Linked DNA regions of Sus scrofa. The protein of the gene in region 3 purifies or fractionates together with the protein of the main gene of each other region. This does not show direct contact. Links are inferred from orthologs where the notes say so. Each region holds a gene or a part of one and is shown on either strand. Other genes may lie near its edges.

Region 1 (11,231 bases), on a different chromosome or scaffold from region 3:
CTTCGTCCTCTCGGGCTCCACTCTTCGCTGTCCTTCGGGCAGGACACCCCAAGGCCCTCTCCATCACCCTCTTCACCCAATGACCCCACCCTCTGTACTTGCAGACACCCTGTCCCAAGCACTACCCTCGGGCCGCTGCACGCGACCATCCAATCCCGTCCTGGTCCTCCGTCGGCCCCGCCCACTCTCTGGCCACACCCACACCTCTAGCCCCGCCCCGGGCCGCACCCGCTGGCCGAGCTGGCAGGAGCTGCCAAAGTCCACTATCTTGATGGCGCTGCGCTTGGGGTTGCAGAGCAGGATGTTCTCGGGCTTGAGGTCGCAGTGAATGATGCTGAGCTCAGGCGTGGCCAGGAAGAGCAGCGCCGTGCAGAGCTGCTGCGCCAGCTTCCGCGTCAGGTTCAGTGAGACGCCGCGGAAGTGCGTGTTGCGCAGGAGGTCGTACAGGTTGTAGGAAAGCAGCTCGAACACCAGGCACAGGTGGTTCCGGAACATGAAGTGCCGCTTCAGGTGCACTGTTGGCAAGGAGGCGAAAATGGGCCGAAGGAGAAGAAATTAAGGCTGAGAGAGGGCCGGTGGCGGCCTGGGGTACCCAATAATAAAGAGATCTTTGTCTCTGCTTCTGGAGCACAGGCCAAACTGTTCTGCTAGCCAGGATTTTATTTCATTTACTTATTTTTTTTGGTTGTGTCCATGGCAGGAGCAAGTTCCCTGGCCAGGGATCGAACCTGTGCCTGTGCCACAGCAGCGACCCGGTGGCTGCAGCGACAACGCTGAATGTTTCACCCGCTGAACCACCACGGAACCCCCTGGGAGGTTTTTTGTTTTGTTTCTTGAGGATGTTTTTATGTCTATAATCTGATTCACACAGGAAGTTAAGTTAGCTCGCTTTTCAAGTCTCTCACATTTTCTGATTTAAACCAAAGAGAAAGTTTCCATTCGGTGCTGATGGGTCTTTAACACCATCCCTACACTTCCCCGTTTAATTTTATAACATTGTTTTAGTCTCAGTTCTGTTTATTTTGTGACAAAGGATACTTGCTTTCCATTTACTGTAAGGAGGTGCATTTTCCTTTTAAAAGAAACACACTCCTTAAATCCACTTTCTTTTTCTTAAGAGGAAGCAGTACAGGAAAGAGGAAAAAACCCAGCAGAGGCGTTTAGAGTGGAGGCTCTGGAATCCACTGTCTGGCCAAATCATAGCTCTACTGAGTACAAACACCTCGATCTTACGCAAGTGACAGCACCTAAGTGCCTCTGTTTCTTCATCTCCAAGCTGTGGGCAATGATGCTCCTTCCCATGGGGCTGTGGAAAACTTACGTAAAGTTCTTACAACAGAGCCTGACCCTTAGAGAGCACCCAATAAACTTTGACCAGCTTTGTCATGTGAATAGGGTAAAAACTGTGAGGGTGGCAGGAGAAATCACTGATGTGGGGGATTACAAACCACACCTTGCCCTGAGGACAGCAGCCCCCTCGGGTACTGAGGGTGGCTCATCCCCACACAGCCCTGCGGCGGGCCTCACCTATGTAGTACTTCATCTCTGTGTCATGCTGGTTCATCAGCTCCAGCAGCCGCAGCTCGATCTGGGCCTGGTTCAGGAAGGCCTTTTTGTTCTTGATGATCTTGATGGCCACCAGCTCCTGCGTCTGATGGTCATAGGCCTTCACCACCTGCCAGGGCAGGGCGCGTCACAAGACGAGGGCAAAGGGGCGCGAGGCACAGAGCCAGGTACCACTCGTCGCCCTCCAGCCAAGGAGACCCACCCATACCACCATCAACGATACTAATACTTCCAAATTGCAAGCTCGCCAATCGTCAGACACTCGTGTCAACGCTGGACATGAGAAAACACAACAACCTTACGTGGAGGGCCTGTTACTGAGGCGCTCTTACAGAAACCGTGGCACAGGGAAACCAGACCGTGCTGGTGAGTGGCCCAGCACGAAACGCGAAGCCACTGAACCGCTGGCTGTGGGGGTCAGCACCAGTGGTGCCCGCTCCTCCCAAGCCCTGGAGCACGGCTGGGGTCGGGGTCATCCCACACCTGGCCAAAGGAGCCTTTGCCAATGAGGGAGTCGATTTCGTAGCGCTCCAGCCAGCGCTCGCCACTGCGCACGATGTAGTCATGGTTGTCGTCGTCGTAACCGTGGTTCAGGACCTTTTTCTCCTTCTTGGTGCTCGAGTCCTGAGGTGGCGCCTGCTGGGCCCGCCGCTTCTTCTTCGCATAGTAAACCTGCCGGGGACCGGCCAGGAGATGCGGACTGGTGAGCGGCCTGTGCTGGCAGGCCAGGACCCCTCCGCACCCAGCCCGGGCCCCCACCCCGCCCACCTCATTGATGTGCTTGTAGGTCTTGATGAGGTCCACGGAGAGCTTGCGCAGCGGGGCCGAGGTCGCGTCTCGGAAGGCCAGGGGCAACCTCCGCGGCAGCAGCCGCACATCAGGCAGTACCTGGGGGGAGGGCGGGGGGCCAGGTGGGCACTGAGGCCAGGCCTTCCCCTCCGACCTCAAGCGGGAGCCCTATCTGGGCAGCTGGTTCCTCGTGACCACAGGCAGGACCATGTGGTCATGGTCTGACCACCCCGCTAGAATGGAAACTCCCCAAGGACAGAGACTTGATCTCCTTCTTGCTTTATGTCCCGTGTCTGGAACAGGGCCTGGCACACAGATGTTCATTAGAAATTTGCTCAGAGAGGGACGGAGTGAACGGTTTACCCCGGACCTTTCATCCCATCCCTTTCGCTCTTTCCTAAACCTCCGTGGGGGAGATCTGAGAGAAACCTGGGGCTCTGCCCGCCCAGTCCTTCACCTGGAACCACCCCTTCTGGGCATTCCCCCTTGAGGGCCCCTATCTTGCTTTACCCTCATTCCCTGGGGCCATCCCAACCCTCACCCTCCACCCTGTGCAGCTCTGCCCAGTTTTTCATCCTAAGGGTCTTGGATCTGGATCCAGCACCCTGGACCTCCCGCTCCAACCCGCTTCAGATTCTACGGTTCAAAACCTAACAGTCTCTACCCCTGAAGCTCCCGACCTGCATCCCCAGGCCCTGCTGACTCCAAGACCCTTTAGGCTCAACCCTCCTCCTCTTTTACCCCCTCTAGATCTTCCTCTCTGGACTTTTTTTCCCTTTGGTGAACATTTATTGAGTATTTACTATGTGCCAGATACTGTTCAGAGCATTTCCAACTGCATTTCATTAACGTGTTCAAGCCACACAATAACCGTGGGAGGCAAGTGTAATTATAGGCTGCATTTGACAGAAGTGGAAACTGAAGCAGGGAGAACCTACCTAAGTAACACGACCCCCCGGGCCAGGATTTGAACTCAGGCTCTCCAAACCTCGACTGCCAGCAACTCCTCTATATCTTCCACTCCCTTGGCACCCTTCATGGACCCCAGAGATTGTCCTAGACAGCGTACCATCTTTTTGGCTCCAAGACTCCTATCCCAGCCTCCCCCGACCCCAGGCAGGTGAGGAGCCAGGTGAACGCGTACCTGCGTGTGCTCCTGGGGCCCCGGGAAGCCAGAGAAGGGACCATGGCCCGGTGGGACGGCCATGGTGGGCTCAGAGGGCCGCAGGGGAGCGAGGCCTGGAGCGGGAGCCCGGCCGGGGGGCGCCTTCTCGCATCCTGCACCTCGGCTGCCACCGCCGCTGAGACCTGAGAGCGGGCGGGAGGCAGGGGAACAACATGGAACAAGGGGATGTGTGGGACAGTGCCAGGAAGGAGAGAGGGGGACATGAAGAAGAAGGCAGGGCACAAAGGGAAGAAGAAAAGGATACAACAGAGCAACAGGTGGCAATAAAAAAAGGGGAAGAGAGAAGTGGAGGTGGGAGGCAGAGCGGGTCCCCTCAAGTGGTTACAAAGTAAATGAAGAAGGCGGCAGAGAGGAACGTGGAAAAGGGAATGATTGGGAGCCAGGCAGGGATATGGGCCATGACAGGAAAGGACAGAAAGACACCAATAATTGGGGGGGGGGGGGAAGAGAAGAGAGAAACCACAGACAGCAGAGCGGTAGGGTTCACTCTCCTTCCCATTTCTGCTCACCGCCCTCCCCAGGGCCCCTCACACATGATCCTGCCCTCCTGGAGTCCTTCCCTGAATGTCAGGATCTCGTCCCAGCAAGGTCCTTCCATCTCGAAATCTACCCTTCCCAGTAGGTCCCCCAATCCAAAGAACTCTGGAGTCGGAATCCTCCCAAACCACTTGAGTCTTCTGGGCCCCCTCCAAACCACAGCAGAATCCTCTGCAGGCCCTGGGGATCAGGGTCCTCAGGGACCTCCTGCCCACACCAAGGTTATCTGAGGACCTCTTCCTAAGAGTCCTACCCCTATGGCGTTCTCACCCGGCACACCCTTCCCAGGAGCCCCTCCCCAGATCTGTCAAGACTTCTTCCCTATCTTTTCTCCCATCGGGGACTGCCCCTCATGTAATTTGTCAAACCATATTTTGGTTCCCCCATGTCACAGCCTGGCTCCCCCTTCCCAGATTATTCCAAGGTCCCCCTCCCAATCAAGGCCCCACTCCTTCGGATGGAAACAAGGGGGAGGCGTCTCTTCCCACCGATCGTCCTTCTCTCTCCTACATGGATCCTACCCTCAACCTCCCCAACCAGTATTTCTGTCAGGGCTCTTTCTCCAGTCACTTCTCTACACCAGGGTCAATCCACAACGGTGCCCATTCCTAGAAGGCCCCCGCGGCCAAATTTCCCAAATATTACAGAGTTCTCCCCTTCCACAATATCTGCCACACCAAAATCCTCTCGTCACGGGCCTTCTCCCATGTCATTCCTTTTCTCCTATGTCAAGCCTTGCACTCCACGATCCCTCTCTCTTGGAGCTCCCCCACAAAACCTCTTCCCCACCAGAGGGGCCCTCCCACACCAGGACCCTCTCCCAGCCTCCGCCCCCTACCCGGGTCAGGGCTGGCGCGGGGCCCACGGGGGGCTGGGGCGCGGTGGGGCCCCCAGTGGTGTGGGCGAGCGGCCAGCATGGCGGCGGTAGCGGTGGTGAGAAGACGGCCGCCTGTCCCGGCCCGGCCGGCCCGGCAAGCCCCGCGGCGGGGAGGGCAAGCGGGACAGGCGGCCGGGTGGGTGACAACAGCAGCCGCCGCCGCTGGGGGCGGGGAGAGGAGGAGACGAGGGTCAGCCCGGGGCAAGCGGGGGAAGGGGAAAGCAGGTGGACGGGGGAGGGGCGGGTTAACCCTCGCCCCGCCGGCCCCGCCCAGCGCAGCCACCTGCCCCCGGGGACCCCGGCGTCCCGCCCTCCACCCTGGGGGCCCGCCCCGGCCAGGGGGAACCCGGCGGGCGGGGCTGGACCGAACCTGGCAGTCCACACCTACCATGGCAACAACCGTGCCATTGGTCACTACTGCCAAGAGCTCAACCAATCACAGTCCAGGACAGCTGTTGCTAGGCGACGACGATGCGGCCGGCGGAGCCGAGCCCAAACAAAGGGCGGGAGCGGGGCCCCGCTACCCCCTCCCAGCTTCCCTCCCGAGACAGCTCTCTCCGCTCGGGCTCGGCCCCTTCCAGGAATCCAACTATGAATAGCCAGGCAAGGCCTGCACCTGCCTGCCGTCCCCCTCCTCTCCTCCCTCGGCCTCGTGCTAAGTCTCGCGGCGACGCAGGCAGGGCGGGTCCCGTACTACCCTCCTCCCCGCGAGCGCGTGCCGCTCCGTCCATAGCCGCGTTGTTACCTGAGGCCGCGAGCAAGGGAACTCAAACTGCTCGGGAAGCCCGAGCTCAGACCTGCCCACTGGCTGAAAGTATCCGGCGGACGCGGCGAGCCAGGGCCCCGATTACCCAGTAATGCAACCAGCAAAATGGCGACCACAACAAACCGGCCCCCCCGCCCTGGACTCCGCCCCCACCCCCCCAAGCTGTTTCTCCTCACGTGACCCAGGGCAACACTCTGCGCCTGCGCTCGGAGGCGCTTACTGGTCTCCCAGCACAGCAAGCTATGAACCCCGCCCAAGCGCCGAAATCCAAGTTACGGCTGCGTAAGAGCCCGCTAAGAAACGAGCACGCGCGGTGCCACCGGGAGAGTGCCCGCCCCCACCACGCAAGTAGACCAAGGGCGCATGCGCCCCGTTAAGAGCGGTCGCCAAGCAATCAGCGGCAAACAAGAAGGACGCATAAGTCTTTTAATAGAAAAACACGCGTGTAACAGTAGCAACACAGTCTCTCGCGATCCAGATGGCACTGGGCTTCAGTTCTTCACCTTGGGGGGTGGTCTGTGAGAGGAAACAGATGCGGGGACTCAGAACTTACAAGCACTTTGGGGTACTCCTAACTAGTATTGAGACTCCCGGCTCTGGTGGATTACTGGGCCCCCTGCTTACCTGTACACACCCACGACCACAGCGTGGTCTCTTTCGTACGGCTCTAGGGTCAGCTGCTCCTGGGGCTTCATGTTCTCCTGCTGCATCTTTTTCACTTCAGAGGCAAACACGGCCTCAGCAGAGGCTGTGGAGTCAATGCAGTTGGCCTGAAGAAGAAAAAGGGTCTGAAGTCTGCAGCAAGGGTTTGGGGCTGTTTTCCCTTTGTTGTGCTCTTTCAAACCAGTAGAATTTTTAAGTTGGAAAATAGGCTTTGGAAATGTAGGGAAAGACTTTGTTAGGTAAGTTTTTAAGTAGTTTGGGTTTGAAACAGGAAGGCTTCAGCAGAGCTCTATTTATCTAAAGGCAAGTGTTTAAAATTTCCACTCTGGTTTCCCCCCCTCCCCGCCCCCATTTCCTCTTTAACAATCGCAATAATGCAGCTGAGATTACTAAAACAAATGCAGCAAGTGGTTAGGAAAGGCTCAATCTGGTTGAAAGTACACTGGAGAGGTCTCTGTATTTCAAAATAAAACGTTTTTAAAAATGTACCTAGCATTTATCTGGTATTTATACCAGGTTCTTGGCTAAACACTCCATACATATATTGAGAAATTTAGTCCTTACATCAACCCTAAAAGAGTTAGGACTAACATTGCTATTTCACAAGTGAAGCAACAGGCATAATATATAGGTCACCTGCTCAAAGACACACACTGGGATTCAAACTCATACGTGGGGATCACGCACTGAACCACGACGGTCTACTGCCTCTTTAAATCCTAAGGTTTTTAGTTTTGCAGACATTTTTCATTACTTGCTATTTGATTGGGTGGTTTATAGGGAGCTGGGTAGGGAACACACTGACTGGATTAGGACGGAGGGAAGCCCCCCCCCGCCCCCGCCCGAGTTTTAACTGGCTACATGGCAGGTATAGAGAGAAGATACTGCCACCCCATCTTAGACTCCTCTATGCCCCGCACCTTAATGGAGATCACAAAGTGTCCTCCATTGCGTAGGAAGGTGTGAGCATTCAGGGCTACAATCCGAGTCTGGTCTGGCTGGGCCACGTCAGCAAAGATCACATCCACCATCGCTAGGAGAAAGAAGTAACACTTACAAGCTGGATCCACAGGATCGTCCCAGCTCCTCCCCGGGGCCTGTGCCCCATCACCAGCAGGTTCCGGGCAGAGTCCTCCCTGCTTCCAGTCTCACTTCCCCCCATTGATCCCCCTCCCTCCACAGTGCCCCCAAGATGGGCCAAAAAAACCCTCAATCACACCGTTCACTCATTCCTCTTATAAACCATGTTGCCACCTACTCTGTGGCCAGCCCCGGGCTGGGCGTGGGGGACAGAGAGACGAGTCAGACCCGGACCCTGCCCTCGAGACGCTCCCGGGTCTGGGGGGGAGACAGACACGTCATCAAAAAGGCAAGTAAAGGTGAGCACGTACAGGCAAGAGAGTCTGCAGGACTGTCACACAAAAACAAGCCACAGGCTAAGGGGTATGGCATGAAGGCACCGGGGAAAAACTCACAGAAAGAAAAACCAGGGGGATGATGCAAGCAGTATTTTTAAGGCAGTGTGGGTCAAAAAAAAAAAAAAAAAAAAAAAAAAATGGAAAAGATGGTGCAATGAAAACTGACTTTCAAAAACCAGGAAAAGCAGACATCAAATGTTCATATCGGTTACCTCTGGGGGTGGTTTATAAGGCACTCCATTTTTACACTATGCTTCTGAATTTTTGCATTTTTTTTTTTTTTTTTTTTTTTTTTTTAAAAACCAAGGTCATTGACATTCACAGCGGGCTCCTCTGGGCCAGGCCACGCTCAGTTGTGCTTTCTGGGGTATGATCTCCCCAGAGGAGGGTGAGGACCTCTGAAGGAGGAGGTTACACACAAGCCGGGGGCAGTGTGAAAGGTACCGTGTTTTGGAGGGAGGCAGGAAGGACGGGGGAGGGTTCCTGGGGGGGAGGGCCCTCCGAGGGTACCAGACACATGAAGTGGGACGGCCACCTCCACAGCCTCACCGGGCTCTCTCCACCCTTTCCATTCCTGTAGACTCGAGAGGCCTGTGCATCCACTCCAATTCCATCCAAATCAGGGCTCTGGAGGCCGCATCCAGGAAACCTGGAGCGACCTGTCCTACCCCCACCAGGGCCAAGCCCTGGGCCCCTCACCGATGAGCATGCGGTATTTGTGCGGGTGCCGAGCATCTTCGATGACGGGAATGATGTTGGTCCTCTTCTTGGCCAGGTTAATGAGGTCACGGCCGGAACGGTGGGAGAACTCAACTGCATAGACCAGACCGTCCTAAAACAAAGCAAAAGCAAACAAAAATAACGATACTAAGTTCTCACGGCTGGAGTGCCTATTTGGGGGTCACATATTGTACACATCTCTTCAAATCCCTATCATTTAATGATTTATTATCACTTTACAGATGAACACACTGAGGTCTAGAAGATGTGAAATCATGGGCTAAGGGTTATTCAATCCGACTTGGTCAGATCTGAGGGCCCAGGCCTCCAATGTAGGCTTAAAACCAGGACGTCGTAATAGCTAAGAATATTTAATGGGCCAGGCACTGCTTTAGGCACATAATAGGAATTAACTCACTTATTTTCACAATGACTCTATTTTCCAGAGGGGCAAACTGAGGCGCAAGAGGGTAAGTAACTAGCTGAAAGCCACTTCACCGTCAAAAGCCCGCAGTGGAGCCGGGGGTTTTTAACCACAGCCTACAGCGGTAGAGCTGAGTGAGAGGTCCTGAAGCGAGATGCATAGGCGCCCTCTCAACAGGGAGCCGTCCACAGCCCAGAAACACAGGTCCTGGCAGTTCCTGCTGTGGCTCATCGGGTTAAGAATCTGACTAGTATCCATGAGGACGTGGGTTCGAACCCCTGGCCTTGCTCAGGGGTTAAAGGACCCAGCGTTGCCATGAGCTATGGTGTAGGTCACTGAGACGGCTTGGGTTTGGCGTGGCTGTGGCTGTGGCGAAGGCCGGCAGCTGCAGCTCCAATTCGAACCCTAGCCTGGGAACCTCCATATGCCATGGGTGCAGCCTTAAGAAAAAAAAAAAAAAGAAACACAGGCCCAGAAACTGACACCTCCTGTTCCTCCAAGAGAAATCAGACCAGATTTGAGGGGTATCAGTTTTTGTTTGTTTCCTTTTTGTTTTTTAGGGCTGCACTGCAGCATATGGAGGGTCCCAGGCTAGGGGTCTAATCAGAGCTACAGCCGCCGGCCTACGCCACAGCCACAGCAGTGTGGGATCCAAGCCACGTCTGCCACCTACACTGGGAGCTTGTGGCCACACCGGATCCTTAACCCACTGAGTGAGGCCAGGGATTGAACTGCTTTCTCTTGGATACTAGTTGAGCTCTTGAACCTGCCAAGCCACATGGGAACTCGGGGGTATCAGTTTTTAAGGTGGGCAGCCACCTCAGACAGCCTGCTATCTATACTCTCGGCTCTGGGCCCCTCTCACAGTGGTCGCCCCGACACCCAAGTCCCTTCCCTCCAGGTCAAGAACTCAGCAGTGAGGCTGAATGAGGCCTCATGCGGCTCCAGCTGCTCCTTTTGCTCACGGGCACTCTAAGTCAGGCTGGCAGAGGAGGTGGCCGTCCCCTCCCTCCCCGCTCTTCCTACTCACCGGGCCCACGATGTCAGAGACGTGGGAGACGGTGGTGCCTGAGGCAGCCCCCAGGTAGAGCACCTTGGCCCCCGGCTTGATGTGGATCTGGTCTACACCGCCCAGGATCGCTGCCGCCAGCTTAGAACGGAAGGGGTTCCAGGCACGGTACTCGATTTTGTCATCTCCCTCCTGGGCAGGGAGAGATGGGGTGGAAGTCAGCGCCGGGCTCTTCTGCAAGACCCCACTGCTCTTAACTCTAGGTGCCCCCAAAGGGACTGGAGGCCCAGTCATCGTACAAAAAACAAATGGAGCCACACAGGCGCAGGGCCTGCCCTTTCGGGGAGATTCCTGACTCAGGGAGAAGGGGTGGCAACAGACATAAACAAGGTCATCCCAGGTTTAACCACGAGGCAAGACCTGTGCATTCGCTCTACAGACCCCGACTGGGTGGCATGTGCTGCGTGCGGCCCAATGCTCAGGCACTGGGGAAACACAGGGAACCAAAGGCCTCCACCCTCAAGGAGCTGAGGAGACGCTGGATGGACCACACCTACGGCACAGCAGCCAGCGGCTGCGGGGACTCCATGGTAAAGACCCCACCAGGCAGGAACATGTGACCACGGGGAGCAGGGTGCGGGCAGGTAAAAATGAGAGCAAGCGCCAGAAGAGCCGAGTGAAGCAGACCCAACGGTGAGGCTGGGGACGTGCTTTCCTGCTTTCCTGGCAGCAGGAGAGCCAGCAGGAAGGCCCTGAGGCAGGAGTGTGCCTGGCCGCACAGAAGTGGCAGGGCCTACAGGGCGGGGGAAGGGCCGTGAGGGCTGCTCTTGACAGACGGTGCGAGGTGGGCTCCTGAGAAAGACAAGGTGACACCTGACCAGATGCTGATGATGCCCTGGAGCCAGCCACACACAGAGCCAGGAGGAGTGTCCCCTGGCACAGGGAAGGCTGCGGGGGCGGCGGGAAGACACTTGCTTAGAGGGGACAGTGGGAGGGGATGGTGGGGAAGGGGAGCTGGAATGTGTGGGGCCTTCCAGGCCACACTGAGGACTTGGGACCATAGCCAGGGGGATGTCATGGAAAGCGGCCGGGGAGGGGACCCTGTGCTCCGGGGGACTGATGGATTAAGAGGATCCCCTGGCTGTCACGGGTGGGATGCACGGTGGAGCAGGGAGACCAGATCCCCGGTTACACTGTTGGCTGGGGGCCCTGGTGGCTTAGCCAGGCGCCCAGGTCTCACCGAAATCGAAACTCTCTTCTCTCCATAAACAGATTC
Region 2 (10,575 bases), on a different chromosome or scaffold from region 3:
TCTTTCACAGCCAACTGCTGGACTAAAACATGACCAAGTTTCACTAAGTCAAGGGAAAACGCAAGCACGTGGACCAAGTATTTCCATGTTAAAAACAATGAAAAACTGTTAATTGCTTAATAAAGAGTTTGTCTCCAAGCAGAATGTATTACACGCATAATTAAGTACTGGAGCTTTGGGGGAGGTGAACTTATTTTTACTAGCCACCAAGAATACATTTAGGAAAAATAATTCCTCCTCACCCATTAACGGACTTTAAAAGCACTTGAAAATAACCCCCTCACTGTCAAGAAAAGAAACATTTCAAAGTCAGATGTAACATCGGAAGAGCAGACCTGAGCTGGACGACGTGCTGGACGTGGTACCCGAGGACTGGGACTGCTCCATGGCGGGACTCGTGGAAACACTGTTGCTTGTGTTTGTACCTTCGTCAGCTGTCTTCTTGAAAAAACTGTGCTGCAGGGCATAGTAAGGTTGAATTCGAGTTTTGGGGTCATAGTCAAGCATCCTTAAGATGAGGTCTTTGAACTTCAAGTAGTCAGCCACCGTGTGACCCGATTCCCCAGCACGACGCCCACCAGGCCCTCCTGTTTCTACTCCGAGGATGTTATGAAGCTTACGGGTTGCTGGTGGTTTATACTCCTAGAGGGAAGGAAAATAAAAGGGCTTTGTCTAAATTTCATGGAATATGTAAAAGCCTACGTAACGTCAGACATGCTTACTCATATGGTATGTTGAGGCTTTTATTAAGAAGAATGCTTCACCATTAGATCCCCTGTATTTCACACATCACTATACCAAACACGCCATAGTTAGGAAAAATTCAAAATAATGTTAAGAGCAAAGATGACGATAAACATCCTGGAGCCCAGGGATCCGCAAACTACAGCTTGGCCCAGAGCCCGTTTTTAAACAGCCCAGCTATGAATGCCTTTTATGTTTTTAAGAACTATCAAGACAAACATAAGAATTCACATCAGAAACCCACAGAGTCTAAAGCTTTATGACATGGTCCTTTAGAGAGGATGTGTGCCAGCCTTTGCTCATCGCAGTGGTCGTGAACCTCTTTTCTGCCCAATGCACCTGTGCACTTAGGTGAGCCTGCTCAGTAACAGTGGCTCATTAAAGCTGTGGAGAATCACGCCTAATAGCGAATCACTTACCTGCTCATATTCAGATAAAGAAACCAAACACAAATTATTTATGCCTCCCTTTAGAAAATATGTTTAATAATAAATTGCCTTAACATGAGCTGAGATTTTTCTGGAAACTCACGTTTGGTTTTGGTGGGGTTTTTTTTGTGGGGGGGAGCGGTGCTGTGCTTGTGGTATACAGAAATTCCCAGATGAAGGACTGAACCCAAGCCACAGCAGGGACCTGAGCCACAGCAGTGACAACACTAAGTCCTTAACCCACTAGACCACCAGGGAACCACTGGAAACTCATTTTTAAACAGATGACAGTATAGCCTTTAAAATCCCTATAAATACTGAATTTTTTCAGAACAGTATCAGTGGATTTTTTGCTTCTAGGTACGGTGTCGAAATCTTCGTGAGGCCACTGCTCTTACTCTAAAATCAAGAACAAGCCAGGAAGACAAACCACAAAAAGCACTGCTTTTAAAAAAAAGCCATTGGAGAGCTGAGGAATAAAGAAACTGGAATTAACGTAATAGCAAAAAATGAAAAGCCTTTTCTAGGAGAGAAGAGACTTATGGTGGGAGAAGCAGCAAATACCATAGATCTGATTAAGGAGTCCAGCCCAACTCCAAACCAACTTCTAACAGCTCTATGTGGTGGCCAGGCCGAAGGATGGGACAGGCAACGATCCAAGAAGGATCCCCCAGCGCTCTGCAAAGCTGAGGCCAGAGCAGCGGGGTGGACACGGACCACCCTGAGGCACCAAGTTAGGAGTGGGCTGCTGGCTGGGCAATGACGTATAAAAGATCTCTCGAGTCTTCACAAACACTGCTTAAAACCTATGAAGATAGTGGAGAATAAAATCTAAATCAAGCAAACAAACCAAACAAAGCCCAGATTCAGCTAAACTACCCACAAAACTGACTCAGGCTCATCACACTAGTGGCCTGACGGAGTAAGGGGCATGCCTCTTTCTAAAGGGAGAGAAGATTTACTTCCACCTCAACTGTTCTTAAATACGACAAGTCCAGCATACATTAAAAACATTACAGGAGTTCCCGTCTTGGTGCAGCAGAAACGAATCCGACTAGGAACCATGACACGGGCTTGATCCCTGGCCTCGCTCAGTGGGTTAAGGATCTGGTGTTGCCATGAGCTGTGGTTTTGAACGCAGACACAGCTCAGATCTGATGTTGCTGTGGCTGTGGTGGAGGCTGGCAGCTGTAGCTCCGATTCATCCCCTAGCCTGGGAACCTCCACATGCTGCATGTGTGGCCCTAAAAAGGCAAAAAAAAAAAAAAAAAAAAATTTAATGACACAAGAAACAAAATGGGTTCATAATCAAGCGGGGGGGGGACTCATATAAATGACCCAAAAGTTGAAAGAGGCATTTAAAAATAACTATGATTAAAAAAAGAATGTTAGTTCAAAAGGTATGTGGATAGACTGGGGGGGGGATTAAAATTATGTTTTAAAAAAGACAAACAATGAAGTGTCAGAAATGAAGACTCCATTTAATGATTTTAACAGGAGACTAGGCTCAGCAGAAGAAAAGCAATCAGTGAACTAGAAGACAGAGCAAATAAATTATCCAAACTATCACACAAAAAAGAAAACAAAATGAGTAAACCGAACATACTCTGAGATAATATTAAGCACTATAACATACATTTAATGATAACTAGTAGAAGAGCAAGTGAAGCAGAACAAATATTTGAAAAGATAATGTCTGAGGATTTTCAAAAACTGATCAACTCACAGATCTAACAAACTCAGCAAACTCCATGGAAACTAAATACAAACATAATCATACATAAGGACCTAATAGTCAAACTGCTGAAAAATTCAAACAAAACAAAAAACAAAACCAAAAATCTACATAAAAATCAGCCAGGGGAAGAGAGAGAAATATTTAATAAAGGGAACAGTACAAGGGAATATTACCCAGCCATAAAAAAGAACAAAAATAATACCATTTGTAGCAAAATGGATACAACTAGAGATTCTCATACTAAGTGAAGTCAGAAAGACAAGTACCATATATCACTTAAATGTGGAATCTAAAATATGAAACAAATAAACCTACTAAAAAACAGAAAAAGACTCACAGACATAGAGAACAGACTTGTGGTTGCCAAGGGGGAGGGCCGAGGGAGGGGGATGGGCTGAGAGTCTGGGGCTAATAGATGCAAACTATTGCATTTAGAATGGATAGACAATAAGATCTTACTGTATGTATAGCACAGGGAACTATATCCAATCTCCTGGGACAGATCATGATGGAAAATAATCTACTAAAAAAAGGATACATATATATGTATATGTACATATATACATATATGACATACATATATATATATACCATATATCACTTGTATATATGTATGACTGAGTCACTTTGCTGTACAGTAGAAACTGGCACAACATTGTAAGTCAACTGTACTTTAATTTTTAAAAAATGAGCAAAAGAGGTGAGGGAGATTAAGAGGTACAAACTTCCAGATATGGAATAAAGGAATCACAGGGATGAAATGCAGAGCATCGGGAATATAGTCAATAATAATAAAATATCTTTGTATGGTGACAGAGGTAACCAGAAAAGTATGTATACAATAGGTATGGATATCATTACTAGAAAGCCAAAAGGGTCCTTGAAACATGAAATGATGAATTAAAAGTAAAATCACTAAGGAAATAAACTGCACAATTATACCCAAGGACAGCACATGCACATTTATTTATAGCTATGGTTAAAATAACTAGTGCATCCTTCATAATGCAATTAATCATTTGGTTACAGATTTGATTTTTTATTGCTGTTGAAAATTTCAGTTTAAAGAGAAATCATTATTTTATACTTTTTTTCCCCCACGTGCGCCCACTGAATGTGAAAGTTCCTGGGCCAGGGATCAAACCCAGGCCACAGAAGCAACTCAAGCCACCACAGTGACAACACAGGATCCTTAATCCATTGTGCCACAAGTGACCTCCTAATTATTTCATACTTTTAAAAATTAAGTTTCTTCAGTCAGTTGCTGACTGCAGCTAAGGAAACTCTCATAAAATCTACAATTAATACATATTAAATGTAGGTTAAGGTACTTTCAATTTTAAGGGAAAAAATTTATCTACTCTTTTCTGAAATGTCCCCCCCAAAACAATTTAAAATAACAAATATTGGAGCTGCCATTGTGGCTCAGCGGTAACAAACCCAACCATTATCCACGAGCATTCACGTTCGGTCCCTGGCCTTGCTCAGTGGGTTAAGTATCCGGTGTTGCCATGAGCTATGGTGTAGAGGCTGCAGACGTGGCTCGGATCCCACATTGCTGTGGCTGTAGTGAAGAGCGGCCATCGTAGCTCCAATTCAACTCCTAGCCTGGACCTCCATATGGCACAGGTGCAGCCTTAAAAAGCAAACAAAAATAAAATGAACAAAATGATTACAAATAAAATAAAATATTTATTATAAAATAAATGATAATTATTATCAGTATTGGAGAAATGACAGCTTATAGTATTGTAGTGACTTAACTGGTTTTATAAGATAGAGATTAGGGAAATGGAATGAGATGTTTCATTTAGAAAAATTAAAAATATAGAAGGACAAAAAAGTAACAAAACTTCAGGAGTTTCCGTTGTGGCTGAGTGGTAATGAACCCAACTAGTAACCATTGAGGATGCAGTTTCAATCCCTGGCCTCGGGTAGGTTAAGGATCCCACATTGCTGTGGCTATGGTGTAAGCCGGCAGCTGTAGTTCTGATTCGACCCCAGCCCGGGAACTTCCATATGCCGCACATGTGGCTCTAAAAAGAAAAAAAAGAGAGAGAGAGAGAGCAACAAAACCTCAAATTGGAGAAAGAAGTAGTAGCCGGTATCACAGAGAGAGAGAGAGAGAAACGTAAAGGGGGCTTCGCATCCTCAATGCTAATTGAAATCAACTGGTAGGAGGCTACCTTGAATGTTGATGAAGCCAAGGACTCCCAGGCTGTGTTTTGGTTCAATGAGAAAAGGGGCCGTGATTGATAAGCTATGTGGACAAATGCAAAAGGACTCAGGATGTCAGCTTGGTACTTTCCATTCCTTCTCCATGGAAAGTAGGCATAATTTAGCTGTCAGATACTGCACTGCCTGGAACTTCAGAGAATAAAGCAAAATGCAGCAAGCCACAAATCAGTTATGGAAGCTACAATTACATATATATTTTAAAAAATATATTCAAAAACAAACTATTTGATATGAAAAGTTAAAGACTCCATAGACGAAGGTCAATTACAGAAGACAAGCAGCACCTTCAGTTCACTGGAAATGACACCCGGTGGCAATATCACTAAAATGCAAGGGCAAATAAAAATGGTGGCAAAATAAAATCTCTTAAGTGTTAAAAATGCAAAACTACAGTCGCAAGGTGGATGGTATATAAATGACATATTTATGGACTATATTCATCTATAACAGAAAAATCTAATTACAAACTATGATTATTCTCAGATACATAAAACAAAGAGGTGTAAGTCAAGATGCAAAACTGTCATCATCCACGCCATTAAAGTGACAAAGCTTATGTATCTGAAAGAAGTTCTCAGATTAAAAAAAAAATTCCTAAAAGATTATCGTTTTAAAAACCTCACTTTCAAAGATTTTAGAGATGTGAAATTCCTGTTATCCAAGCTAGGAATCTGAAATCAAAGAACCACCTAGTAGGTTCATATTCTTGTCACAAACTGCCTAAGTCAAAAATCCTTTACTCTCATCTTAAAAAAAAAAAAAAAAAAAAAAAGCCATTTACTGCAATTATGAATTTTGATGTTCACAGCTGCAGAACTGTTATACCTGTGACTTCACTATATACCCAAACTATGAGAAACAAAAGTCACTGATTCTACTGTTGACACAGGACATGGTGATTTGATCAGCTGCCACGAAAGGCAGACAAAATGAAGCTTCAAAGAAAATTCTGAGTATTATAAGCAAACGCTGGTCCATACACACAGTTCAGGTCAAACTATAATCAACTTGTGAAGAAAATATGTACCTAAGTTATCAATGGAACTACTGTTAATAACTGATACCAGTAACACTGATTTCAAGTAAATAACAAAATATGCTATAAAGACAGCTCAATGAAAGAAATGTGACTGCTCAAAAAAATATTCCCTTATTTTTACCCGTTTTCCATCTTTGGTCTTCTTTAAGTTCCAAGTGCCATCTGGCAACTTCTCAAAGAACTTTCTTGCTTTTGGTGCTTGGTCAAGAATATGAGCAGGTGGAATACCCAGAACTTCCACAATTTTATTCATCTGATCTACCTGTATTAAAATAAAAATAAAAAAACCTGTAATTTCTACTGTAGTCCATCCTACTTCTGCTCATCAATTCATTCATTCACAAATAATAAATAATAAATAACTTAAGCATCTCCTGTGTCAGGCACTCCTCTGGGCATTAAGCATATAATAATGAACAAAAGAGATAAAGTCCCGGCCTTCCCGAAACCCAACATTCCACAGAGGGGCGGGCAGACAATTAAGTAAACACATACATCTGTGGGATGGCAAGTGGTCATGGATCCAATGGAGAATAAGGAATGACTGGAGGGAGTTTTTAAACTTTTAAGTTTTGGGAGAGTTTTAGTTAAATAACCCCACACAAAAGGTTTACTAAAGTGTGGACCTAATAAAAGTATTTTTTTAAGTGCAGATTCATTCAACAGATCAAGTGTCTATTATATGATAGAAACCATGCCCACTATAACTCAGCAGTAAACAAAAGAGACAAAAATCCCTGCCCCAAAGTTTCTATCATAGAGGAAGAGATCGCCAAGGAACAAATAAATACATAGTAAAATTTATTAGATCTGTCTAAGAACCATGAAGAAAATTAAAAGGGGATGAGGAGTCAGAAGGAACTGCAACTTAAAATAGGGTGCCAGGAGTTCCCATTGTGGCTCAGTGGTTAACAAATCTGACTAGGGACCATAAGGTTGCAGGTTCGATCCCTGGCCTTGCTCAGTGGGTTAAGGACCCTGCGTTGCCTTGAGCTGTGGTGTAGGTTGCAGATGCAGCTCGGATCCCACGTTGCTGTGGCTCTGGCGTAGGCCGGTGGCTACAGCTCCAATTCGCCCCCTAGCCTGGGAACCTCTATATGCTGCGGGAGCAGCCCTAGAAACAGCAAAAAAAAAAAAAAAGGGTGCCAGGAAAGGCTTCACCGAGAAGGTGACAGCAAAGCAAAACCTAAAGGCAGTGAGGGCAGGCCCGGGAGAGCGCCAAGGCAATGTGGCTGGGCCAGAGAGAGCTGGGGAGGCGGCAGGGCAGGTGGGAGAGAGAACAGGCGGGGCGGGGCGCTTTCCGAGCTACTCAAAGGACTGTGACTTCCACCATGAGTGGGGTGGAAGTCACTGAAGCTTCAGATGCCCATGAAAAGGTGACAAGAGGGTAATATTCTTTATGACTAAAAGAAAAACAGGGAGCTCCTGCTATGCTCAGTGGTAACGAATCCGACTAGTATCCACGAGGACGCGGATTGGATCCCTGGCCTCGATCAGTGGGTTAAGGATCTGGCACTGCTGTGAGCTGTGGTGTAGGTTGCAGATGCGGCTTGGATCCTGCATAGCTGTGGCTGTGGTGTAGGCTTACAACTACAGTTCCGATTCAAGCCCTAACCTGGGAAGTTCTATATGCTGAGGGTGCGGCCCTAAAATGACCAAAAACAACAACAAATTTTTTACACTATGGTAGTTACTCGAAAAGAGCAGCTCACTAGCTACAGTGAATTGAATTAAAGGCAAGAGGAAGGGACAGGTTTCTGACACTAGCTATTAAAGAGCTGTATAACCCAGTACAATTTATTACATTTTGTTAGTCTTTTTTTTCCCTCTCTTTTAAGGGCCTCACCTGTGGTATACGGAAGTTCCTGGACTAGGGGTCAAATCAGAGCTGCAGCTGCCAGCCTACGCCAGAGCCACATGGGATCTGAGCCACGCCCGTGACCTATGCTACAGCTCATGGCAAAGCTGGACCCTTAACCCACTGAGCCAGGCCAGGGATCCAACCTGCACCCTCAGGGACACTATGTTGGGTTCTCAACCCCCTGAGCCACAGGGGGAATCCCATCTTTCTTTTCTCATGTATAAATGAATGGACTGATCTGCAATGGTTAACTTCTCTTAAAGAAACAAAAAACAGAAGTTCCCAATGTGGCATAACAGGATCGGCAGTGTCTCTGCAGTGCCAGGATGCAGGTTCGATTCTCGGCCCAGTACAGTGGGTTAAAGGACCCAGCATTGCTGCCGCTGTAGTGTTGGTCACAACTGTGACTAGGATCTGGCTCCTGGCCCAGGAACTCCATGTTCCCTGGGGTGGCCAAAAAAGAAAGAAAGAAACAAAAAACAACAGAACCCCACAAGCAAATAGTTTTAAAACCAATGAACGCCCAATTCCTCTGACTGTAAGGGAGCTTGGGCTTTCTCCCTCTTGCCCTCCTCCCCTTGCCAGGCACTGCCTCTGCCCTTCGAAACCATCCAAGAACGCAGACGGAAAACCTGCAGACTAGAAGAATTATACTTAGTCTGTAGCTCTAAAATTCTACAGTCCTAACTTACCCGAAATTATTCAGATCAAACATCCATCAACCCTACTGGTCATGCATTATTTCAAATCATACTGTCAAAGTTTTACACGGATGTTTGCATTGTTTTCAGGGAGGCCCTCATTTCTTCAAGATTATTTTTTTCTTGAAAATTTTACTTAAAATCTGTAAAATTTATATCAAAGTACTTAACATGTGCCAATCTAATTTATCGTTCTCCATTAGCAGAATGAAAGATCTCACATTCCATCTCATAATTCTAAACTCACCATTACATGATAACTGAAAAAATTAAAAATGGATAAAATATGTTCAAAACTGACCTAACACCTGAATGACTAAGTTGGTAAAATAGACATCTTTTCCTCTAAACAACTCTCATATTACACTGTCAGAGATTAAAAACAAAAAGAAACCATGAAAAGAGAAACAATTTTTAAAGCGATCCATCACATACCTCATTGGCTCCACTGAACAGAGGTTCTCCAGTGTGCATTTCAACTAAAATACACCCAAGGGACCACATGTCGATAGCAAGGTCATAAGGCATTCCCAGTAGCACCTCTGGAGACCGATAAAAGCGACTCTGGATATACTGGTATATCTAAAATATATTTCAAAACAGTATTAATTCCAAAATAAGTTTTAATTGTAGTCAGCACTGTATTAACACAAATCTAATATTAACAGAATAAAACAACTGGGTTGAGTTCCATTTACTGATTTCAACATTAGTCTATGAATATTGTTTAAAGAACTAAACACATTTCAAGGGAGTGGTAAATCTGAGTGAAATGCACAATATATAAAATTCAAGTCCTTTTATTTAATTCAATCCTAACTGGTAATCAAGATATATCTTAAACAATTATAAAGAAAATATTATCAGAGGAAAATATTCTTGAGAACAATTTATTTCCTTATTAATTATTCTTTCCTGCTATGGCTGGTACTTGGCTTACCATTAATTTAACAGTTAAATTGTATTTAAACTAACCTAAGGAATGAAATACACTCTTGACATTAATTTAAAGCATTAGGAGTCATAAACTCAGCACAGTGTAACTGAAGATTCAGACATCTGTACTGTACTAGTTTCACAGATAAATCCTAGAAACACTGCCATCTAAAGATTCAGCTGAGTGTCATTTCTGACTAATCGCTTCTCTACCTTGTCCCCACCCCATCCCACTCCTAAGGCTTCTTCGAAGAAGAAAACCTTGAAACCGATTAGTTTCAATGAAGTGATCTGAGACTCCTTAAGAGCCTAATTTATCTCTTCTTAGCCACTTAAAATTTCTACCTAGAAATATCACAAAAGCAAAGACAGTTTGATTTTAAAAGGAAGAGAAAGAAATAAAATTCCTCCTAACTAAACTCTCTCACTTTAACACTCAAAACAGACAGCCAGCAGCATGGAGCTGCTTTCTCACAAAAGCTTCTGCGGCGCCACTACAACTCCAGCTAAGCCTCTGAGAATCATCTCAGGCTTCCACGAGCAAGTCAACCCAACCTCAAGATCTTCTCAGAGCAAAGAAAGTCTAATTCAAAGGGACCAAGAAGAAGTATTACATTTCCAAGTTTTTATAAGCCCCAAAGCTACTGAGACTATCTTATTTCCGAGTTTATCAAAGGAAATTTGTCGGCTACCCATCCAGTCGGTTAAAGCGGTGGTTGGTTTGTCTACAAAGTTATGCACCAGGATCCCCTGAGGAACTTTTTCTGAAACATACTTGCCCTGTCACCTTCTAAGACTGAGCCAGCAGACCTAAAGTAGGGCCAGTGCTGGCCTAGTTTAGAAACAAATTCCCATGGGATTCTGACACACTCACAGAGGTAAAAACTCAC
Region 3 (10,575 bases):
TGTTTTTGGTTTTTTGTTTTTAAAGCAGATAACTTAAAGACACATAAAAAGAAAACAAAATTAAAGCTATGTCCAAAGTTTCAAATGCTGTCTACCAAGGACACATGATTTGAATCACGTATCTTAGAATGCTGGAAGGACACCGGTCTTTGTTGCTGCTCTCAGTGCCCTGGCAAGCCCAGGCACCAGGCAGGTAGCTCAGGGTGAAGACCACTGCATCTCAGTGAAGGTCTAAGATAGCCAATTTGAATCGAGAATTTCCTAAAGCCAAAGAAATCCTAGCTATTTAAAGACAAAAATATATTCCACTAAGATTTTTCCAAAGTTGGTACTATTTTGAGAAGAAAAGGCAAGAAAACTAATGATGCACAATGTCTATCTTTTGCTGAGCTCCCCCCTGCATGAATAAACTTTGGTGGGCATGAGTTCTCCGAGTGCACTTAAAAATCTCTTTGGGAAGTTCTCTTGTGTGGCAGTAGGTTAAGGATCCAGTGTTGCTGCAGCCATTGCGCAGGTTGCAGCTGTGGCACAGATTCAATCCCTGGCCTGGGAACTTCCATATGCTCCCCCAAAAAATATTTGAGGAGTTATCACCGTGGCTCAGTGGAAGCGAATCTGACTAGCATCCATGAAGACGCAGGTTCGACCGCTGGCCTTGATCAGTGGGTTTTGGATCTGGCATTGCTGCAGCTGTGGTGTAGGCCGGCAGCTATAGCTCTGACTTGACCCCTAGCCTGGGAACCTTCCTATGCCTCAGTGCGGCCCTAAAAAGACAAAAAAATAAAATAAAAATAATGATAATAATAATTGAAACAATCCTGTGAGTTAACCATGATGGTTTTCTGAATAACAACATAAACACAAAATCAAAATAAAACTAATAGCAGTCTTTTGTTCTGAAAGTACTTATGGAAGCCAAATCTTTGCCTGTCCCTAGCTGCTCCCGCAAGTTAACCCAAATAGTAGGAATAGGACACTAGAGGTAATGGTATTCTCTGAAAATAAAAATATAAAAAAACTGTTAAAGGAACATGGGATGGAAGTGACACAAAATTAAAAAGAAATTAAAGCGGAAGAACCAAAATAAATCAAGATTCAGGTGGGTCAGAGTTCCCGTCGTGGCTCAGAGGTTAACTTGACTAGGAACCATGAGGTTGTGGGTTCGATCCCTAGCCTCGCTCAGTGGGTTAAGGATCCAGCACTGCCGTGAGCTGTGGTGTAGGTTGCAGACATGGCTCAGATCCCGAGTTGCTGTGGCTGTGGTGTAGGCTGGCAGCTACAGCTCCAATTAGACCCCTAGCCTGGGAACCTCCATATGCCATGGTGTGGCCCTAGAAAACATTAAAAAAAAAAAAAAAAGATTTAGGTGGGAAAACATAGTATGATCATTGTGATAAAAGTATGGTTCTCATCTTTCCTAGTGAAATGGAAAAAGAAAATCCGAGTGTGCTAAGTCTGCACTACATTCTAGAGACCCAAAAATGAAACAATCTACAAGGGACAGAGTAAATATGTAGTTTTTGTGTGGAGGGAGGTACTGGGGGCAGAACTGTATTTCAGTATAATAGGTCTGCTTTATAATCTTTAATGTACTTTGACAAACATTATTCAGAGAACTTATGGATTACTTCAAAGCATCCACAAGCTTTACCAGACTGCCAGAGGTGTCCACAGCGCGCGCGCACACACGCGCGCGCGCGCACACACACACACATACACATGCAAGGTTAAGAACTCCCATAAGCAGCTCTGACATGTTTTGCTGTGTTCTATTCTTTCTTGGATACAATGGAAACTTAATATGTTGAGTAATTTTTTTTTTTTTTTTTTTTGTCTTTTTTGGGCCATACTCTCAACATATGGAGGTTCCCAGGCTAGGGGTCCAATGAGAGCTGCAGTTGCTGGCCACAGCCACCGCCAGAGCAACACCAGATTCAAGCTACATCTGTGACCTACACTACAGCTCAACAGATCCTAGTTCCCGTCGTGGCGCAGTGGTTAACGAATCCGACTAGGAACCATGAGGTTGCGGGTTCGGTCCCTGCCCTTGCTCAGTGGGTTAACGATCCGGCGTTGCCGTGAACTGTGGTGTAGGTTGCAGACGTGGCTCGGATCCCGCGTTGCTGTGGCTCTGGCGTAGGCCGGTGGCTACAGCTCCGATTCAACCCCTAGCTTGGGAACCTCCATATGCCGCAGGAGCGGCCCAAGAAATAGCAACAACAACAACAACAAAAAAGACAAAAGACAAAAAAAAAAAAAAAAAAAAAAAAATCTCAACAGATCCTTAACCCACTGAGCAAGGCCAGGGATGGAACTCACATCCTTATGGGTATACTACTCAGGTTCATTACTGCTGGGCCATAACAGGAACTCCCACATTGAGTAATTTTAAGGCACATGTGTATATGGATAAATCAGGATAAGAAGAGCACACACTCCTCTGCTTTTACTGAGAGGATGGTTTTCAATTCCTTAAAGAAGACTGAAAGTTGAGGTTACGTTTCTATAATTAAATAATGCTTGAATTTTTTTTTGAAGAATTATTAAAGATAACTTTCATTCTTATATTAGGTGAAAAGGGGCTAATCAATTTTTATATGCTCCTCCAAATGAGGCCTAGGTTAATTAATTTAAGGTTATCTTGTTAAAAATCACTTAAGATATGATTGCTAACAGATTTTTGAGGATGAAAAACTCACCACTTCTGAAATACAAATTTTTGACTTCGACATTTTTTAATGACAGAATCTAAAATCAGTGTAATTTCCTTTCTACTTTCATGAAAACAGACTTATGACAGATCTCACACAAAAATCTAGTGCAGACTTGGCACACGGATTTTCTTTTTTCCATTTCATGGAAAGAGATGAGAACCATACTTTTTATCATGTGATCATAATAACCTGTCTAACTGGCACCCCTGTTCAAGAAACAGAACACTAACAGTGAAAAAGCATCACATCCCCCTCCTCCTCTTTCAGCCACTACACCAACCCTCCAAAAGGAATCACTGTTTATTCCACTTAACTTCTAGGAACAGATTCTCTAAGAAATTCATTACTCATCTCTGGGATCTATGACCAGTATCATACTTATGTTACTAAAAGCTGCAAGTACTAATATTACTTCAAAGCTTTCTTTAAGAACCATACACACACAAAAAACACAGTCGCACACACTAAGCTCCTCAGAACCAACTTAAACATTTTATTGTTCCTTGAGAAGTTATTCCAAAAGGATTATATCTCAGAATAGATATAACCATTTGCTAGTGACTTTCTGAGATAGAGATGGTCAGGATGGATAATTATTACACATATTTTCCTACTGATATAAGGAATGCTTTGGCATTTTTTTTTAAAGGCTTATGTAATAGTCTCTCTAAACTTACACATAAATTATCAACTAAGAAATGGTGGTTACAATGGAAAGGAGGGAAAGAAAGGAAAAAAGGGAAGGGGAAGTTATGTTACATATTTTTAAAAAAATCTTTGTATCACAAAGAGGCTGTAATATCTAGGAAATCTAAGGTACCTTAACTAAGGTCAAAGAGTTCATTAACTGGGATCAGGAAACAGTATTTTTCACTTTGTTAAAATGGACTTGCTGGAATTCCTTTTGTGGCTAAGCAGGTTAAGAACCCAACTAGTATCCATAAAGATGTGGGTCCCATCCTTGGCCTCACTCAGTGGGTTAAGGATCTTGTGTTGCCATGAGTTGTGCAGAAATGGTTTGGATCTGGCACTGCTGTGGCTGTGGTGTAGGTTGGCAACTACAACTTGGCTTTGAATCCTAGTCTAGGAACTTCTATATGCCGCAAGTGCAGCCCTAAAAAACAAACAAAAAAAAAACCCACAAAAAAAGGACTTGCTAAGTGCCAACAGCATGGCTATGGTCTGTGCTGTACACCCCCCCCCAAAAAAAAAGCAAAATCTAGTCTTACCCTTTCTGGGCCTAAATCCAACTACATATCTTCTTTTAGGTAAATAAACATACATTTCTAGAAACAAGAAATTAACCCCTCACCCAACTCCATCCCCTGGTTCAGGTCACAGGTCAGAGTTACTGTTTTTTTTTTTTTTTTGTCTTTTGTCTTTTTAGGGCGGCACTCATGGCATATGGATGTTTCCAGGCTAGGGGTCAAATGGGGGCTGCAGCTGCTGGCCTACGCCACAGCCACAGCCACGCCAGATCCGAGCCACATCTGTGACCTACACCACAGCTCATGGCAACACCAGCTCCGTAACCCACTGAGCGAGGCCAGGGATTGAACCCACATCCTCACGGATCCTAGTTGGGCTTGTTAACAACTGAGCCATGAAGGGAACCACTCAAATTGCTTTTTAAGTCGATCAGCCATGTCTCTTCACGCAGGCACATCTGAACTACCAATGAATCAATCAAAGAGCTCAACTCCAAAAGGATCCATGTAAACCATTTGATTTTTACTTAACAGAATGACTTTATTTCTTAAGAACTCTCAAGAAAAAGCCTAAGCCATATTTTCAAAATAAGCATAAAAATCCTATGAGGTTTGTTAAAGATGCATAATCCAGGTCCTACCTACTTCCATATTTTTTACTCATTAGGCCTAGGATGGAGCCTGGGAATCTACAGTTTCAACTAATACCCCAGAGGTGATGATGCAGGGAGTACATGCAGCAGATCTGGAGAAACACTGCTTCAACTCTCTGGCACCAGTAAAGCTTTTAGTCTTCCAAGGTGGGGGGCGGAGGGGAAAGTGGTTGCTAAAACAGTGTTCAATTACTGTCACAAAAGCAGATAGAAGAATGACAGCTGGGTTCTCCTAGTAGAAAGGGTGAAGGGATTCAAAAACAAGGCTCTTTGTGTGGCAAAATTATTCAGAATTTAGGTGAAGAAAGCACTGACAGGAGGGGCATATAGAGGAACAGAAGGATGCAGTCCTTATTCCAACATGTTCATGATGAAAGAAAAAGATAAAATTATGTAACTCAGACAAGGCTGGACCATCTCCACATTGTATGTGAAGTATCACAGGAGAAGCAGAGGGCAGCTATTAGACTTGCAGCAATAGTGAGACGGGAAGGTAAGGTCTAAGTACCATCATCACCTAAATTAGCTCAGTTTCATACACACCACCCTTGGCCATCACTTACAAAGCAAGGAGCCATGACTACTGCAAACACAAGGCTGCAATACTTTCTGAGCAGATTTTGAGTCTAAAATTAAGGGTACTTGACTAGAACACCAGCCAAGAGAAATATATGAGCACAGAAGACTGCTACCAAGGGTACAGACACTATTTTAAACTCTGCTTGTTACATGTTCTTCATGCACAGTAACATGTTTCTGCAAAGTCATAGAAGTCTCTTCCCCACATTGGCAGAAAAAATTTTTTAAAATTTGTTTAAAGAACTGAAACTACAAGAACATTAAAAACTGAAGGGAATCTGATCCTTGAAAGAAGGAAACCCATCCTGGGTGAGATACATAGTCTAGCTTGAATAAATATACTGCTAAGTTCAATATATGATGCTGACTATTTACAGGTTCACAAATAACCACAGATGAAACACTGGGACAAGTGAAGACACGTGAGCAACTGGATATTAGTTGACATTGACCATAACTGTAATTTTCTTTGGTGTGACAATGGTACTGTGGTTATGTAGGAGTGGTTACTTTTATTACTGTGGTTACTTTTAGGAAACAAACATTAAGCTCTATTTAAAGTTAAATATCACAAGGTCTGCAACTTACTGTCAAACAGCTCAGCAAAAACTAACACCAACATACAAGAGACAAAGCAAACAGCAAAATGTTAACTACAGGATCTAGTGGTAGATCCATGAGTGGTCACTGTACTCTTCTTCAGCCTACTCTAAAATTCCCATTACAAAGGTCTGGGGGGAGGTTTGATGGGGGATACTTACGAGCATTCCTCAAAGACTTTGACCCTTTCACAGCCCTCAGGAGGTTCCCTTTTGAACATATAGCTGTTGTTAGGTTTTGGTGAGGTTGCATATTTGGGCAAAGGAGAGTTGTTCCCATTCTCTGCAATAAATGAGATGCTGTATTACTACTATGTACGTGAAAGCACAGTCATACTGTATTTACTCGTCCTTGGCCTCCCCCCACACCATGAACTATTTGAGGGTAGGAACGGTGTTTTTATTCACCCATATCACCCCAAAATGTAACACAATTCCAGGTAAACGGGAGCTACTTACTGTTCGACAAATAAATGAATAAACAAGAGATTTTAAAATTTCTTTTCTACTTACAACTGCCACAGCCTAGGCCCGTATCACTAACTCCTTGGTAGAGAACACTGATTTATGTTGCTGCCTTATTTCTATTTTTTTTTTTTTTGTCTTTTTAGGGGTTATTTCTATTTTGCACACAGCAAATGGGCTCAAATACCACTTCCAATCTTCCCAGAATGAGTAACTGAAATGGTTCTTCACCGGCTACATACTATTTGTGTTTGGCCTGCCCCTCAGAATCCTTCGGTTTGATTTCTCTGCTCCTCCGATTACAATCTCTGTTCCAGGTAGTCAGAGCCATGTGCACACTGTATGCCAAAGACCCTCTTTTGCCTGCAAACTTCCCTATACCTAAGAGGTCCTTCTCTGCTCACTTTCCAAAACCTCCTTCAAAGTCTGGCTCAAAGCTTTTGAAATCTTTCTAAATTAATCCTATTAAAGGGAACACTTCTTTACTCTTGCACTCTAATTCAGTGCTGATGTGCTCAGTTTCCACTATATTAACTTAAAATTCTTGCGATGTTACCTAAGTGCCCTAAATGCACAGTGTGACTGTGTCAACTCACCTACAAACTCCTTACTGGCAGCAGCACAGCAGCCCTTTCTTATAAAAGAAATCACAGAAGCTAAGCAGTCACTAGTCTCCTAAAGTCAAATACAACAGGACACAAAACATATGGAGTGCCTACACATTACTGAAGTAAAAGAACAAAGTATGGGAAATCAAGGGGCAGGTTTTAAGAGCCAAGGTTTCATTTGTGTGGGAGGGGTATAGCTGATTGAGCGCTAAGTACCAGAAGCTGCACTAAACAGTCTGCATTCACTATCCATTTTAATCCTGATAATAAGTGTAAGAAGTAGTTAATTATGGCAACTCCTGAAAAGAAACACGTGGCCCAATCAAAGGACTTAATCCAGTAGGGGTCAAACTTGGGTCCACATGAATTACCTGGGAACACCAAAAACTGCTGCCTGTGTCTTGCCTAAGGGGTGTAGTTTAATTAGCCTGGGATGTTGGCCTGGAATAGCTGTTTTAAGTAACACAGAAGCTGACAATAAAGGGTCCAAGTAATAACATTTTACAACCGCCCACTGTCTGAAGTGACTTCTTCAGAAAATCTTAAAATCCTACAGCACTTGCTATTGTCTTAAAGCTGTAGGTGACTGGCAGTAATGACCAGTCATTGGACATGGAACGTTTTAGGACATTCAGATATTGCAAGTGGGAGGTTCTAAACAAACGGCTACTGAATTGGGCTGTAGAATTTATGTAATAATAAATATCTTGTTACTCTCAAGTTCATATAGCAATAACTCGAATTAGGCTAACAAAATATTTATTGCCCTGATACAGAAAGAAGAAAGGTCATATTTGGTTTGAAAAACTAAGAACATTATTAGTAATTAATATTCAAAGTGCTATGTATCTGATTATTTTCTAAGTCACGTAAGTGGTTTAATACTATTAGTAGCCCCCTCCCATTTTTACTCCAGGCTTGCCTTAAACATTCGTCTTGTATTGATCTAAATCACCTTAATTTTTGTCAGAAATATCACAAATATAGATCCTAGGAGTTTCCATTGTGGCTCATGGACTAATATCCAGGAGGATGTGGTTCTGATCCCTGGTCCTGCTCAGTCAGTTATCGATCTGGTGTTGCCATGAGCTGTGGTGTAGGTCACAGATGCAGCATGGATCTGGCATTGCTGTGGCTGTGGTGTAGGCTGGCAGCTGCAGCTCTGATTTGACCCTTAGCCTGGGAACTGTCATATGCTGCGGGTGCAGCCCTAAAACAAAAAAAAAAAACCTAAAAAAAAAGAACAACTACAAATATAGATCCTAAGGGGGTTCCCTTCATGGCTCAGCAGTTAACAAACCTGACTAGGATCCATGAGGATATGGGTTTGATCCCTGACCTCTCTCAGTGGGTTAAGGATCCGGCATTGCCATGAGCTGTGTTGTGTGTGTAGGTTGCAGACGAGGCTCAGATACTGTGTGGCTGTGGCATAATCAGGCAGCTGTAGCTCTGTTTTGACCCCTAGCCTGGGGACCTCCACATGCTGCAGGTGCGGCCCTAAAAAAAAAGGCAAAAAAACCCCCCAAAAAACCTAAAAAGCACTTCCTTGAAGGGAAGGTTTCACATTCAATTAAAAAGCAGTAAGTTTGTAAAAACAATGACGACCAAGGTGACAGAGAATAAATGCTATTCAGATCAAATGTTTATCTCATTTATATCAAAAAGAATGTTTCTCACTATAAAGAACTTGTACTAGTAAGTGCAAAAAAAGAAAAAATTACAAAAGTTCACAAATCCACCCAACGAGACCATCACCTGGGCACCACAGTAAAACCTACTGTTTTGTATTCCAATTGTTTAAAATCTATGTTTTGAACACATCTCAAGGTAATTATCTTAGTAACCCCTACGTGTGTGCTCTGCTAGAAAATGAACTGAATGCACAATAAAACCGGTGCTATTCACTCAATACTGGGGTAGCCAATTCCTCCTGCACTGTACCTTTATCCCTGGGATCAACGAGAAGGTCATCGGCTGAACAAGGGCTCTCTTCGCTCCCCTCGTTGGAGATGGTGAGAAAGGACGTGGGGGACACAGACTGAGAGCGGCTGCTGTTGTTGCTTCCCCGCTCTGCCCCGCCGGGGGTCTGTGTGTCGATGCTGCGTGTGCTGCTGCTTCTCTGCACGAGGGGTGGAGGCGCACGATGGCCATCCGGAATGTCTTGCGGCTGTTAGAAAATTTTAAAAACATGTATTTTTATCACTGATTTTGAGATTCACCTGGAAATGCAAACCCAATGTTAATCTTTCCCTGCTGTTCCCCAAAACTCAAAAATCAGAATCATACTCAGGCCTAAGGAGAGAGAAGCCTTTGCGCTGCTCTGTTAGTGACATCTCCGTTTAAACCGCCCCTCGCAGGACACTGAGCAGCAGTGTATATTCCCAGGGTCTGGCACATGAGTGGTCAGTGCTTGATGAAGGATGAACTGCACTGAATTCATAACAGCATGTGCTAAGCATTATTTTTAAGATTATAAAGACAGGCCATTATAACAAAGGAGAAAAATCTAGAAGAAAAGATTATCCATTGCGTAAATTACTGATACCTGATGACACAGGTCCTGCTCCCTGCCGCCCCCTCTTCCTCCTGAAACAGTGTTTTCAAGGAGACCTCCCTCAGGGAGGGAAAGGTTCATCACAGCCCCGCTAATTACTGGGGGAAATCAAGGAGAACATTCAGAGGGAAGCCTGTTTGGCTCCCTGAGCAGGGAAACCAGCTCCCTGTACGTCTTTGGTACATTTACTGTTATCGCATCAGGGAAGGTTTCACCATCATGCAGTGAGGAGGGGACGAGGAGAGGGTGTGGGCTGTTGCCTTTTCTCTAAGCTAAACCAACCTTATTCTTAAGGGAGAGGATCTTAAGTATCAAAAAAATACCACCTTAAAACTCTTCAATTCCTCTTCACTGAAGAATGAATCTTAAAAATACTCTGTGACATGGTTTTAAATACAAATTTTGTCTTATGTGTGACCCATTCTTATGTGTGTCACCACGAAAAGAATACACATTCTATTATGTATCATAAGTAAGCAGAACTGCACTTCATGATGAGAGTTAACCAAACGGGAACTGATAAAAAACAAGCAAGAGGTAGATTCATACTTGGAAAGTATTCTGTGTCATATCCCTCCCTCCCCAACAAACCCGTAAGCTAAACTTTAGTTACATGGAGTTACAGCCAATGAGAACCCTAGTGATTTTTAAATGCAGGAAAACAATAAATGTGGATTCTCTTCAAGGATCCAAATTTAAGTCACATCAGTTGTCTCTATGAGATGCAAAGAATTAAAAACCTTCCATTCACTTGCAAAAGTCAAAGTTTCTCAAGAGATAAAACTTTCCATTCTCAGCTATAAGGAAGAAACCCATGTAAACATAGAAGACAAAATTGTGAATTTTTTAATAATTAGAAGAGTTAATGTATAAGGATGATTTTAAAATACAAGCCCACTTACTATAAGTTGTTCTTCCTTTTCCCCTGTCTCTTTAATTATTATTTCAATCTCCTGATTCAATCCTTCCACACTATTCCGGAATCGGGAGCCTGTTGATTTGGTGATGGGAATTACTGGAATAAGTGCACTCTTTGGAACAGGAGCCTTAAGAAAAAGCGGTAGAGGGGGAGAAGACACACTTAATATTACCTTTAAATTTTCTAGATGGAAGCGTATTTCCATTTGACATGGATAACTCTAAAATAAATCAAAATAAAGTTTACTGGCCTCACAAAAAGAATGACTAACCAAAC

Evidence for each region.
Region 1: the proteins of FAM117B (region 3) and DYRK1B purify together in Homo sapiens (affinity purification with mass spectrometry; 3 studies listed by BioGRID and IntAct, counting the BioPlex papers as one, with this or other methods). This does not show direct contact. The link is inferred for Sus scrofa from reciprocal best matches to the Homo sapiens genes FAM117B and DYRK1B.
Region 2: the proteins of FAM117B (region 3) and DYRK1A purify together in Homo sapiens (affinity purification with mass spectrometry; 8 studies listed by BioGRID and IntAct, counting the BioPlex papers as one, with this or other methods). This does not show direct contact. The link is inferred for Sus scrofa from reciprocal best matches to the Homo sapiens genes FAM117B and DYRK1A.

What each region holds. Positions count from the first base shown.
Region 1 is NC_010448.4:48,308,650-48,319,880, forward strand, and holds the start of DYRK1B (dual specificity tyrosine-phosphorylation-regulated kinase 1B), read right to left. Parts: upstream 5,875-11,231; 5' UTR 5,347-5,874; coding exon 4,917-5,346; intron 3,664-4,916; coding exon 3,500-3,663; intron 2,455-3,499; coding exon 2,335-2,454; intron 2,239-2,334; coding exon 2,050-2,238; intron 1,676-2,049; coding exon 1,528-1,675; intron 516-1,527; coding exon 229-515; intron 1-228. Other genes in the region: FBL (rRNA 2'-O-methyltransferase fibrillarin), read right to left, coding at 6,213-6,237, 6,346-6,491, 7,305-7,417, 8,502-8,634, 9,977-10,147, 11,196-11,231.
Region 2 is NC_010455.5:201,140,962-201,151,536, reverse strand, and holds part of DYRK1A (dual specificity tyrosine-phosphorylation-regulated kinase 1A), read right to left. Parts: intron 9,332-10,575; coding exon 9,185-9,331; intron 6,450-9,184; coding exon 6,309-6,449; intron 643-6,308; coding exon 336-642; intron 1-335. UniProt on the Homo sapiens protein: Dual-specificity kinase which possesses both serine/threonine and tyrosine kinase activities. Exhibits a substrate preference for proline at position P+1 and arginine at position P-3.
Region 3 is NC_010457.5:106,269,756-106,280,330, reverse strand, and holds part of FAM117B (protein FAM117B), read right to left. Parts: intron 10,427-10,575; coding exon 10,283-10,426; intron 8,994-10,282; coding exon 8,768-8,993; intron 6,037-8,767; coding exon 5,916-6,036; intron 1-5,915.